Linked DNA regions of Arabidopsis thaliana. The protein of the gene in region 1 interacts with the protein of each later gene in a pairwise test. Each region holds a gene or a part of one and is shown on either strand. Other genes may lie near its edges. The genes, in order: HBT and AT3G14190.

What was found.
Region 2: the proteins of HBT (region 1) and AT3G14190 interact in a two-hybrid assay, tested with the Arabidopsis thaliana proteins (one study listed by BioGRID).

Annotation. Positions count from the first base shown.
Region 1 is NC_003071.7:8,631,312-8,639,123, reverse strand, and holds HBT (CDC27 family protein), read left to right. Parts: upstream 1-1,823; 5' UTR 1,824-2,223; coding exon 2,224-2,328; intron 2,329-2,977; coding exon 2,978-3,050; intron 3,051-3,169; coding exon 3,170-3,279; intron 3,280-3,415; coding exon 3,416-3,462; intron 3,463-3,550; coding exon 3,551-3,648; intron 3,649-3,726; coding exon 3,727-4,013; intron 4,014-4,319; coding exon 4,320-4,475; intron 4,476-4,627; coding exon 4,628-4,841; intron 4,842-4,965; coding exon 4,966-5,174; intron 5,175-5,265; coding exon 5,266-5,331; intron 5,332-5,458; coding exon 5,459-5,578; intron 5,579-5,683; coding exon 5,684-5,760; intron 5,761-5,842; coding exon 5,843-5,962; intron 5,963-6,063; coding exon 6,064-6,283; coding exon of another isoform or gene 6,284-6,334; exon of another isoform or gene 6,335-6,372; coding exon 6,373-6,654; intron 6,655-6,749; coding exon 6,750-6,800; 3' UTR 6,801-7,165; downstream 7,166-7,812. Other genes in the region: AT2G20010 (Gls protein (DUF810)), read left to right, coding at 1-128, 228-1,147. UniProt on the Arabidopsis thaliana protein: Component of the anaphase promoting complex/cyclosome (APC/C), a cell cycle-regulated E3 ubiquitin-protein ligase complex that controls progression through mitosis and the G1 phase of the cell cycle.
Region 2 is NC_003074.8:4,708,384-4,713,154, forward strand, and holds AT3G14190 (uncharacterized protein), read left to right. Parts: upstream 1-2,099; 5' UTR 2,100-2,231; exon of another isoform or gene 2,232-2,513; 5' UTR 2,514-2,523; coding exon 2,524-2,590; intron 2,591-2,674; coding exon 2,675-2,950; intron 2,951-3,036; coding exon 3,037-3,080; intron 3,081-3,212; coding exon 3,213-3,407; 3' UTR 3,408-4,186; downstream 4,187-4,771. Other genes in the region: ASIL2 (sequence-specific DNA binding transcription factor), read right to left, coding at 1-238; AT3G14200 (Chaperone DnaJ-domain superfamily protein), read right to left, coding at 4,498-4,626, 4,722-4,771. UniProt on the Arabidopsis thaliana protein: Required for the maintenance of centromeric cohesion during interkinesis, until meiosis II. Required for regular configuration and segregation of sister chromatids in meiosis II. Also required for centromere cohesion during meiosis I.

The DNA.
Region 1 (7,812 bases):
GGTAGATGAGACATTGGAAGCGTTTTTCTTGTTGCCGATTCTTTTGCATCCAGTTTTACTTCCTGAGCTAACGTCAGGACTAGACAAGTGTATGCAGCATTATGTATCAAAGGCGAAATCATCCTGCGGTAAGCAGTTGATTGTTTAGTTTTTGGAATAAAAAAGCTCACGCTTTGTTCATTTCACTTATGGAGTTTCTGGTTTTGTTTTTATATGGTTTCTATTAGGCTCGCGGAATACGTTTCTACCCGTTTTGCCTGCTTTAACAAGATGCACGGTCGGGTCCAGACTACATGGTGTATTCAAGAAAAAGGAGAAGCCAATGGTAGCTTCTCACAGGAGAAAATCACAGCTGGGGACGGGTAATGACTCGGCGGAAATACTTCAGTTCTGTTGCAGGATCAACACTCTGCAGTATATCAGGACAGAGATCGAATCATCTGGGAGAAAAACATTGAATCGTCTCCCGGAATCCGAAGTTGCAGCTTTGGATGCTAAAGGTAAAATATTTGAACAGTCGATTAGTTATTGCTCGAAAGGAATACAGCAATTGTCTGAAGCAACTGCTTACAAGATCGTCTTCCACGATCTGAGCAATGTTCTCTGGGATGGTCTGTACCTCGGGGAAGTTCCTTCCTCAAGGATTGAGCCGTTTCTTCAAGAGCTCGAACGGTGCCTTGAGATTATCTCCTCATCGGTTCATGACAGAGTCCGAACCAGAGTCATTTCGGACATCATGAGAGCTTCTTTCGACGGGTTCTTATTGGTCCTCCTTGCAGGTGGACCATCGCGTGGCTTCACAATTCAAGACTCTGCTGCCGTAGAAGAGGATTTCAAGTTTCTATGCGATCTTTTCTGGTCAAACGGAGACGGATTGCCTTTGGATTTGATCGAGAAGGTTTCGACGACTGTCAAGAGTATACTTCCGCTGCTGCGCACGGATACAGATTCTTTGATTGAACGGTTTAAAGCAGTGTGTCTGGAGAATCATGGTTCTGACAGAGGGAAGCTTCCGTTACCGCCGACTTCTGGTCCGTGGAGTCCGACAGAACCAAACACACTTTTAAGAGTATTGTGTTACCGTTACGATGAACCTGCGACTAAGTTTCTGAAAAAGACCTATAACTTGCCGAGGAAGCTAACCTGAGAGTGACCTACTTACTACATTGGTACAAAACCCGGTTTAGTTTGAAGTGTGGAATATATTTTGGTTAAAGCGGCTAGCGATTGGTATTTGGCAAATTAAATTACTTGTACAAGAAAGTAGAAACGTTTTAGTGAAATATTCTTCTTTTGTACTAATCAAAAGCTTGTGGGCTTTGTTATATGTTGTCAACTGTTATAAATTTGTATATTTAATACCTTTGTTTTTCATCTTTCTTTTTCAAATTTATCAGATTTCTGATTGATAATTCAAGATTGCAACGATGGTTCATGAAATGGTCCTTTAAAAACTCATAATGTTTATGTGATGGATAACATCAGATATATGATGATATGGTTGAAACTTGAAGTATTCTAACTTGAAGTCATGATTCATGATCCGTTTAACAACGTTTGAAATGAGTATCAGAAAATGATTATCGTAGATATGAAACTTTTCCTGCAGACACGTTCTAGTATTTTGCTAAAATAATAGTTTGTTGCTTATTCAACCAAACAAAAACACTTGTTCAAGTAGCGCAATATCTTCGATAGTTCGATTCATTATTATGATACCCTTCTTCGACTTCTTTGATTTCCTCGAGTTCTTCTCCATACGTCACATGACTCACATCGTCAGCGATTTCATGGCAATGTTACATGTGGTGGACGACATGGAGTATCCGCGACCGCGAGATGATCTTGAAGAGGTGTTTGCTTTATGAATGACGATGAATCGGCTCTGTTTTCCTGTTTCCAACGGTTGTAATCACACCATCATCGTTGTCTTCATCTATACTAATATTCAAATGGTCAATTATAAAGCCCAATAAGCTAACTAAGCCCAAAAATGAAAACACACGGACTCAGCCCATACAAATTTTAACACTTAAGGCTAATGGGTCTGTCACGTGCGGAATAGACTGAAAACAGAGCATCGCACGTGCCGCATCAAAATTTGAAATCACGACGACTTCAAAAAAATCCCAAATGGTAAGAAAAAAATAAAAAGTTGCAGAAAAAACAGAAAACCCTCTTTTCTCTCTCTTCTCTCTCTCTCGAGGAAGAAAGGCAACAACTATGGAAGCTATGCTTGTGGACTGTGTAAACAACAGTCTTCGTCATTTTGTCTACAAAAATGCTATTTTCATGTGCGAGCGTCTCTGCGCTGAGTTTCCTTCTGAGGTAATCACCCTCTTCTTTCACTCTCTCTCTCTGATTTTACCTCTCTAATTCAAATTCTGTAAATCGAAGCTCTTGGAATGGTAAATTTGATATTTTTGGGTTTGTAATTCCTCTGGGTATCTATGAATTCGTCGAAAGTGCGTCTCTTTTTGGATTTGGAATTCGATAGCTTCACTGTGTTCTTCGAGATTGATTTTGGTTTCTTACCTTTTAGCCCTTTGTTTTCAAGATCCGTGTGTTCAATTAGGAGATGAATTCGTGTTCTTTTCTCTCTCTTGTTGAATTTGTTTTCTCTAGTAGCTGTGCTCAATGCTCATTACTGATTTGGTCTTTGGAAAATTTGCATTTTGAGGGTTAATGACTTTTGTCCATATATGTGATCTCAAGTTTAAGTATTTATTATCCTTGGAACTTAGCTATGAGTCAACTGTTAGAGGAATGTCTCTGGGATTATCTCAAGCTTTGTTAAAATTTGGGTTAATACAGCTTCAATAGTAGTTGAGAAAGTATTCATTCATTCAGCCTTTGGTCTGGAATATTTTCAACATTCGTAGTGGTTGTCCAGTTTCTAGCTTCAGTTAGTAGAAATCATGTCAATAAATGATTGGCCTTTTTGTTTGATCACTTTCTGAATTTTCCTCTTATATAGGTTAATTTGCAGCTATTAGCCACCAGCTACCTGCAGAATAATCAAGCTTACAGTGCATATCATCTGCTAAAGGGTGCGTGGCATTGTTTCTTGACTTGTTGCTTGTTAGCCTTTTAGTCAGAATTTTGCACCTTCTTTTGTTAGGTCGTTTTGATTATCTTTGTATATATATTTTTTTTTTGTTATGTAAAGGAACACAAATGGCTCAGTCCCGATACTTGTTCGCATTATCATGCTTCCAGATGGACCTTCTCAATGAAGCTGAATCTGCACTCTGCCCTGTTAATGAACCTGGTGCGGAGGTATTTAATGTTCTCTGGTATTTTGCCTTTATTCGCTTACTGAATGTCATTTTACAAAAACAGTGTGTCAGTTTCTGGACCTTATTTATTGATTTAGTTCAGTGAAGATAACAACATGCTTCTGATTATTGTGCAGATCCCAAATGGTGCAGCAGGCCATTACCTTCTTGGACTTATTTACAAGTACGTTTTTTGTTCTGTCTATGCATTTTTTCTTGATTCTGAATGGCTTAGATGAGATGATTCCTCATATATAACAGTGACCTTTTAGGTATACTGATAGAAGGAAGAATGCTGCTCAACAATTTAAACAGTCCTTGACAATAGACCCTCTACTTTGGGCTGCATATGAGGAATTATGTATATTAGGTGAACATAATCCGTTTTCTGCATACTTCACAGATATGTTATGGTTCTCTTACACTTTTCTGTCTGCTCAACTTTCAGGTGCTGCTGAGGAAGCAACTGCAGTTTTTGGTGAAACAGCTGCTCTCTCCATTCAAAAGCAGTATATGCAACAACTGTCAACTTCCCTCGGCTTAAACACTTACAACGAGGAACGTAATTCAACTTCTACTAAAAACACGAGTTCTGAAGATTATAGTCCAAGGCAGTCTAAACACACACAAAGCCATGGCCTTAAAGATATCTCCGGAAATTTCCATTCTCATGGAGTTAATGGAGGTGTTTCGAACATGTCATTCTATAATACGCCTTCGCCAGTGGCTGCACAGGTAATGTCACACAATTGTCGTACTGCTTTTTTATGTAATACAACTATATCTCCATCTGTTGATCACACATTCTGTAGTACTTAGGAGATTTGTGCATCATGGGTGTTGATTTCACAGCGTTTGTATCTGTTTTTTCTATATCTGTTATGCCAAAAGAATGGGTTGTCTATTCTTTTGACTATTAAAAATGGGGTCTTCATTATGTTTTAGTGTCTTTGGTTTGGCTTGTTAATTTTATCAACCTTTTTAGTTATCTGAATAATAACAGCTGTAAGTAAATGCTTTTTTGTATTTTTGAAATTGTAGCTATCCGGTATAGCTCCACCACCACTTTTCCGGAATTTTCAGCCAGCTGTTGCAAACCCAAACTCCCTTATTACTGACAGTTCTCCAAAGTCCACTGTTAACTCTACTCTTCAAGCACCTAGAAGAAAGTTTGTAGATGAAGGAAAGTTACGTAAGGTAGGATTCACATAATCACATATCTCTACTTGACATCATCAAATCATAATTTTGAATTATTGGTCTTTCTCTGTAATAGTCTATTTCGTACTCGGGATGAAATTTTCTATACCAACTTTCTTACCGTGAGTGCATGTCTCTTATGTTTGCAGATTTCTGGCAGACTATTTTCTGATTCTGGTCCACGACGGAGTTCAAGACTGTCTGCTGATTCAGGGGCAAACATTAATTCAAGTGTTGCAACAGTAAGCGGAAATGTGAACAACGCTTCCAAGTATTTGGGAGGTTCTAAATTGAGTTCTTTGGCACTTCGTTCTGTAACACTTCGGAAGGGACACTCCTGGGCAAATGAAAACATGGATGAAGGTTGTGACATTCCATGCACTATACCACTATATTGTTTGAAATCTGCCCTTGTGTGACTATTGTTATCATGCCTTCTATTTTTGGTGTCTGCATATTTGTAATACCGTCATTCTGATGGGTTTAGGGGTCCGTGGGGAACCTTTTGATGATTCAAGGCCTAATACTGCCTCAACGACTGGTTCTATGGCTTCCAATGATCAAGAAGACGAAACAATGTCGATTGGTGGCATAGCAATGAGTTCTCAAACAATCACAATTGGTGTTTCGGAAATTTTAAACCTCCTTAGGACACTCGGAGAAGGGTGTAGACTTTCATACATGTACAGGTGTCAGGTAGGCATATTATTGTTCTCGTGAATTATGCAAGTGAGGTGAACCTATATAGGCTTATCTCATTGTCTCCTTCTGCTTCTGGGTCGTTCAGGAGGCACTGGATACGTATATGAAACTTCCACATAAGCATTATAATACAGGATGGGTTCTTTCCCAGGTAACTAGTGACTCTTTCTCTTTTAGGCTGCCATATATGGATATAGCCTGAATCAGTTTTACTCTAGTGGCCTGTGATAGTTATTGTTGAAAGGTTTATATACACATACTATGGCTATTAAATGTAGGTCGGGAAAGCATACTTTGAACTAATTGACTATTTAGAGGCTGAAAAGGCATTCCGTCTTGCCCGTCTGGCTTCTCCTTATTGCTTAGAAGGAATGGATATATACTCTACGGTCCTCTATGTAAGTGTATTATCCTGGTTTCTAAACATGCAATCTCGGATGAGTGCGGAAAGAAATCACATTTATGTAAATTTTTCATCAGCAAGATATGATATTTATTTGCAGCATTTGAAGGAAGACATGAAGCTGAGTTACTTGGCTCAGGAACTAATATCAACCGATCGCTTAGCTCCTCAATCTTGGTATTTTTTGTCGAAGTTGTTTTTCTGATTAACGTTTTCATTTATTGTTGGTAATAAGAGAAATAAGCAATCAATTATGTAGGTGTGCTATGGGAAATTGCTATAGCTTGCAAAAGGACCATGAGACCGCACTGAAGAATTTCCTACGAGCTGTTCAACTGAATCCAAGATTTGCATATGCACATACCTTATGTGGCCACGAGTAAGAGAGCCTCTATCCATTTGACTTTGTCTTGCACAATGTGCTTAAAATTATCTGGTTATTGGTCTAATTGACACTTTCTATCTTTACTGTCTCTGTAGATACACAACTCTTGAGGATTTTGAGAACGGAATGAAAAGTTACCAAAACGCACTTCGTGTAGATACAAGACACTACAACGCATGGTACGGGCTTGGAATGATATATCTACGCCAAGAGAAGTTAGAGTTCTCAGAGCATCACTTCAGAATGGCTTTCCTAATAAACCCGAGTTCCTCTGTTATAATGTCTTATTTAGGGACATCTTTGCATGCCTTGAAGGTTATCTTATTACTTTCATCTTATCAGGTCTACAAGAAAAACAATCTTTGAAGAATGACTAAATGCTTCTTCTTGTTTTGTGTTAATAGAGAAGTGAGGAAGCACTAGAGATAATGGAGCAAGCCATAGTAGCAGATAGAAAAAACCCTCTTCCAATGTACCAGAAAGCTAACATACTTGTCTGCTTAGAAAGATTAGATGAAGCTCTAGAAGTTCTTGAGGAGCTCAAAGAGTATGCGCCTTCAGAGAGCAGCGTTTACGCTTTAATGGGCAGGATCTATAAGCGGCGAAACATGCACGATAAAGCCATGCTTCATTTCGGTCTAGCTTTAGATATGAAACCGCCTGCAACTGACGTTGCTGCAATAAAGGTTCGAGTCTTTAAAACAGAGTCGTCCAATGATGGTTTTTAAATCTGAAAATTCAAGGATTCATAGCTTAAACTGGTTATTATTGTCTGAAACAGGCTGCAATGGAGAAATTGCATGTTCCAGATGAGATCGATGAGAGCCCGTGAAACCATAGCTACTCCAAGAACCTTGGGTATGAATTAATGTGAGACCGTTGCTGCTCCACGAACCATGGGTATGAATTATTTAGTGCAAAGCCTACCTCTTTTAGGGAACTAGTTGGGTTTGAATGTAGTTTTGTTACCAAACCGTAACACAGCCACAAGAGCCCACATGACTTGAGTATGTATCATGAGTTGATCTGTATGTTGTCCGTAACACTACCTAATCGCAATATATGATTTTTCCACATCTACATATACATTTTACCACTTAAACCTTGTTCATCAAAAGATAATTTATTTCGTTAGTTTTTAAACCTTGATTCAAACTTATATCTTTATTTTCCAAGAAATATCTAACAATATTGATCGACTGAGATATAATCAAAAGATACGGCTTCGACCACATACTGTACATGGTTTAAATTAACTTGTACACAAAAAAGTCTTTTTATGATTCATCTTTGTTTTCAAATTGAAGAATTCCCTAAGTAATATATTTTGTTTTTATTAAATGAAGCAGGGACACACAGACACAGTATAGTAAAGTAATCAGCGAATATTTTTACCATAAAAGTAAAAATTTAACAATTTAAAAAAAAAAAAAAAAAGTCAACAATTATTCTCCCAAAATGAAGCTGAGAACAAATCACGGATGTTGAATATATAATTCACGTGAATTATAATCTCATGATGATTATAGAAATTTTACGTAATTTACGAGATTTGCACTCAAAAATGAAGAAGAAGAAAAACGTAACTTGCGAGACTTTTGATACGTATAATTCTATAATTATATGATTTTTTTTTCTTCCGAACAATCATAACTCGACTTTCGGTGGGATTAACGAACGTCACTGATTCTGACTTTTGTGGTTATTTGCCTCAGTTTATATCGTTTGAAAAGTAACGGCGACGACTACCAGTAAACATTTACGACAAATCCTATGATTGCCTTTGCTTTTATAACTTTCTTTTTTTCTATATTATATGTTTAATCCTAAAGTTTGTTTTGGAC
Region 2 (4,771 bases), on another chromosome or scaffold:
TCCCGCCGCCGCCGGTTGGTCTCCCACTGCTGTTATTCCCTCCACCGCTGGCCTGAATCGGAAGCAGCGCCAGAGCCAACGCATCCGGATCCTTCTGCGACGAATTACCCGGAGGAGTCAGAGAATAAGAAGGCGGACCTGCCGAAGCCACCGTAACCGTGATTCGTCCCGCCGGCGGGGAGGAAGACGGATCAGGTGAATCGGAACCCTGAGATCGGATGTCTTCATCGTCCTCCATGGAATTCGATATCGCCGGATCTGAGTCAGAAGCTCGTGAAAGAGGGAGATAGGGTTAGGGTTTGGGTTAATATTCTGTTCGGGAGGGGTAAACGGGAAGGAGACGGCGTCGGTGAGTAGAGGGGACACGTGGAAGGACGTGAGAAGATACGGGGAGATGACGTGGAATGACGTGATTGGTAGGTCAGAGGTAAGATTCCGTCACCGGTAAAGTTGCCGGCTCGGTTTAGGGGTAAAAGATGGGTTTGTATCGTAATTTCCCCATTTCTTCGTAATCCGATGAGGAAGTGTATTGACGGAAAAGCCCATCTAGTTTTACTATAATTACCGGAACTATCCCCGTGAACCATTTTTCCGGTGATGTACCGAAATTACCCTTAGCCTAACCGTCAGTTTCAATATCGGTCGTAGACTTTTTTTAGTCCGTCGATAGTTTCCAGTTGTCTTCCTTCGTTGTCTTGCTTCATTCGTTAAATCGATTCGAATTAGTCTCTCTTTTAACAATAAGAACGGTGACGTGGATGTTATTTACTTTGGGCATGGGTTTTTATTGGGCTTTCCATACGCTACGTTAGCATGTTATCACTTAGTATCATTTTTTCTTTTCACCATTGTCAAAGATACAACTTTAAACATTCCAGAAATACTATGTTTCAAAAAGACCTTATATAATCTTCGTGAATTGTGAAACAAACAGAAATTTAATATTTCTCAAATCTCAAAACACCAAAAGCGACCATTATGTTATGTACACAGCAAATATATATATACAAAGAAAAGTAGTTTGGGATACTTCTTCTTCTCGTAGAAATACCTTGTAATATTTTTCAACGGTCCAATGCGTTTAGCACAATCCTGCAGTATTACCGGACGTTAATTAGATATGGTGGTACTAATGAAAGCGATAATGCGTTGGATAAAATGAAGTATAGTTTGAGAGGAAAGAAAAGAGAGGGAGATCAAACCAATCGCAAGCATTGAGACTTGTAGCATGTGTTTCACTTGGTGTTCCAGCTGCATACAAATGATTTTGGTAATCATTAATTTACAAATCCATAATACTCTCAAGCTAATAATGATTATGGATGTCAAAATAAAAAAAAAAAATAATAAAAAAAAGCTTATAATGACTATGAACATATGTATCACCTTGCAAAGTCTTTAATTTACATGAATATATAGGGTTTTAACTGCTCATAACACAAGCATAGAAGATAAAAAAAAAGTGGATCAGAAAGGATTTTTAAAAAAGGTAACATAAGAGTCAAAGGGGAAACGGGGTTGCTTGAACGGTCAGGAGAATTCGGGACACGTTTCAGATCCACCATCAACTTCCGGTTGGCACTTTCACCGGATATGTGGTTTCTCAACTTCCCGAGACCATTTTCCGGCGTTGGACCGGCCAAAGTTTCATCCCACAACTTGTGCGAAAAACCCATATCTCTGATCAAATTATTAGAAGGGTTTTTCTTGTTAATTGTCTCTAATGTGTTTTGAAAAGAGTTTTTTTTTTGTTAAGTCTTCTTTATGTGAGGATAATGGTTTTATATAAGGAACAGGAACGAGAAGCGTTGAATATCCTTGGTTAGACTAATTATATACACTTTACCTATAATTTAACCTTCCAAAATTAAGGAGATTTAATCAAGGATGATGATAAATCTAGCCGATAAGAAGATAACTTAGAGAAGTGTGACATGTTTTGCTTCTATCTTACATGATAGTTTGATGCCGTCAATTTGATTTATGTGATGGGCCTGTACCTGGGCCAATTCTTGATTAGGCCTGCATTAAAATATTCTGCCAACGGCTAGAAACTTTTTCTCTTCTTCTATAAATTTACTTTTTTTGGCCTAATCCCGGAGGTTCTTCATTATTTCGTCAGAACAACATTGAAAAGTTACCGTTAAACACTCTAAGCGCTCTTCTTCATCTTCTTATACACTTCTCTTCCAACAAGAATCTCACCAAGAAACTTCTTCACTTTTACAAAGGTAATCTCTTTCTTCCTTCTGATTTAGGTTCACATTATAGACTGTTCTTCTTGCGATTGTTTGTTCTTCTTTTCGTATGTCGCTACTTGATTCGTTCTGGGTTTCTGGGGTCTGTGGTGTTAAATTTGCTTGAGGATCGAATTGGGTTTTGTGAAAAAAACGATCTTTGTTTCGATTTCGAGTTGGGTTTCTGTTACCTTTTTTAGGGTTTCTAATTGCTTAAAATCGTCAGTTCTGGAATCAAATCTTCGTTTCTGCAATTGGTTCTTTGATGATTCACAGTTAAAACCATATGGCGAACATGAACGCTCTTCAACAAATGATCTTCCCAGACGAGAACGCTCCAATTCATCGCAAAAGTAGTTAATCTTTCTCTACTCTCTTTAAATCATATTGCTTTGAAACAAAGATTTAACATTTTCTTTCTTGGCTATTATTTACAGAGTCTGTCACTGCTGCTTCTGTGAAATCCAAAGGGACTGTACTTGGTCAGAAGAAACCTGGAGGAGCTCGTAAGGCTCTGAATGATATTACAAACAAGTCTGGGATTCATGCGAAAGCTGCTGCTTCTTCAAAGAACAAGCAAATTGCTTCTGCTGCTGTGAAAGAGATTGATATAGCTGGGGAAAGGTTTTTACATGATCACAGCAAATGCATCAAAGAACAGCAAAATCTTTGGGATGATCACTACTCTGCTGATCTCATGCTACTTCATCATGGTATTGTATTTAGATCTTCTAAGCTATGATGTTTAACCAATCTTTGCGAGTAAGCTTGTGCTAAACTTGATCTTTTGTACTTGCAGGTTCCAGCATCAAGGAGAAGCATCTCAATTGGGACATTGAAAAGGTACTGTACTTAAAAAACAATGTCTATCTCTCTGTCTTTGATGGAGATTTTGGTGAGACTGCATCTTTAATCTAGTTTTGGAACTTAAAGTGACACTTTTTATGACTCTATCCTATGTGTTTTTGGTTTCAGATGGATGCTAAGGACGATCTGACTTACGAAGAACCAGAAGAGATGGCATCGCCCAAGTTTTCTGATTGGCTGAAGAACTCGACTCCATGGCGCTCTCCAATCCGTCATGGCTCTATGATGCCTTCCACTCCTCTGGCTTGGCGGTTCGATTCATGCGAATTCACACTTAAAGAAGACTCTGACGACCTCTTCTGAGTTTCTGTTTCTTAATGTCTTCAAAATTCATCCTTCAGATGAAGTAGTAATAGTAGTAGTGGCGTTTATCTTTTGTTCAGCTCTTCATGAATCACTCTGTGTCTATCACTTTGTAACTGGTTTCAGGAAATAAAGTTGGTATCTTTTCAAGTATTTTGACTATTCATCAAATTTGTGCCATATTCAGAATCTGAAGTTTCGATTTACACTGTCATGTTTCAAGCCACAATCCTAAACATCATCAGAATTCACTTTTACAAACATTCATCTCTTCAACTGTGAACTTACATTGCCGTTATCCTTGACACTATTGGTGACTTCTGACTCTTCTCTCACTGTCTCTATCCTCGCGACTGTTCCGTAACACCTCTAATTGAGCTTTAAAGGACTGCATTTTCTGCAACTCAAGCTCCTTCTTCTCCTTCTCCAGCTCCACCACTTGTTTAAGCTTTATACCACCTTTTCATAACTTGCTGCAAATCCAACTATTGCCATTGCCACCTCTCCAAGCTCCATCTCATCCACTTTTACCCGCGGTGGCAGCAATAATGGTAGTTTACTGTCGTCAACTGAGTAAGCAGAAAGTTCAAGTTCAGATTCTAATTCAGTCTCAGAAGCAACTCTTTTCCTGAAATGCCATCGTTTTGGATCACCACTCGTTGTTCAGATTTTGATTCAAGTCTCAGAAGCAATTATTTCTCACTCTCTAATGGTTGGTAAGATAAGAAAGGTTCGACCAAAATGGAACAAAAAATAATGTAAATTTTTATGTAATCAAATGCTGAGACAATCAATAACTAATAAGAATATAGAAGGAACTGTGTTTGATCAACATAAAGCAATTGATTTCATCGATCTCAATGATCTTTAACGATTCTTGCTTTTAGGAGACAACAATTCAATGACAGCACAGGAGAAACAAAAATAAAAATAAGAAGATTCTAGAGAAGGAGGTGGGTAGTTTTACAAAACGACGACCCTTTGAGTTTCGATGTATTCCTCATTGAGAAGACAACAACCACTCATCTTGTCTGCGACTAGTCGACAAATGTGGGGAGATGAGTTAGCAAAAAAATATGGTGTGAAGTGGCTATGAGGTGGGGACTCCATAGTTGTTTGACGACGACGTTTCGTGACCAGCCGATGGAACATTGTTCTTTCTCCTGTTTCTTCTTCCGCCATTGTTTTTCCCTTTCTTGAACTCTTGCTGATGGTCCACCTGCTGATCCACCAACACCAATTCATCATTCATCAAGAAGAGTATTATAAAGTGACTCTGAAAAGGAAGAGTTTGAAGTGGTTTCAGTTCCTTACCCCTAAAGAGAAGGAATGAGCTCTCGGGTCATATCCGAAAGGATCATTAT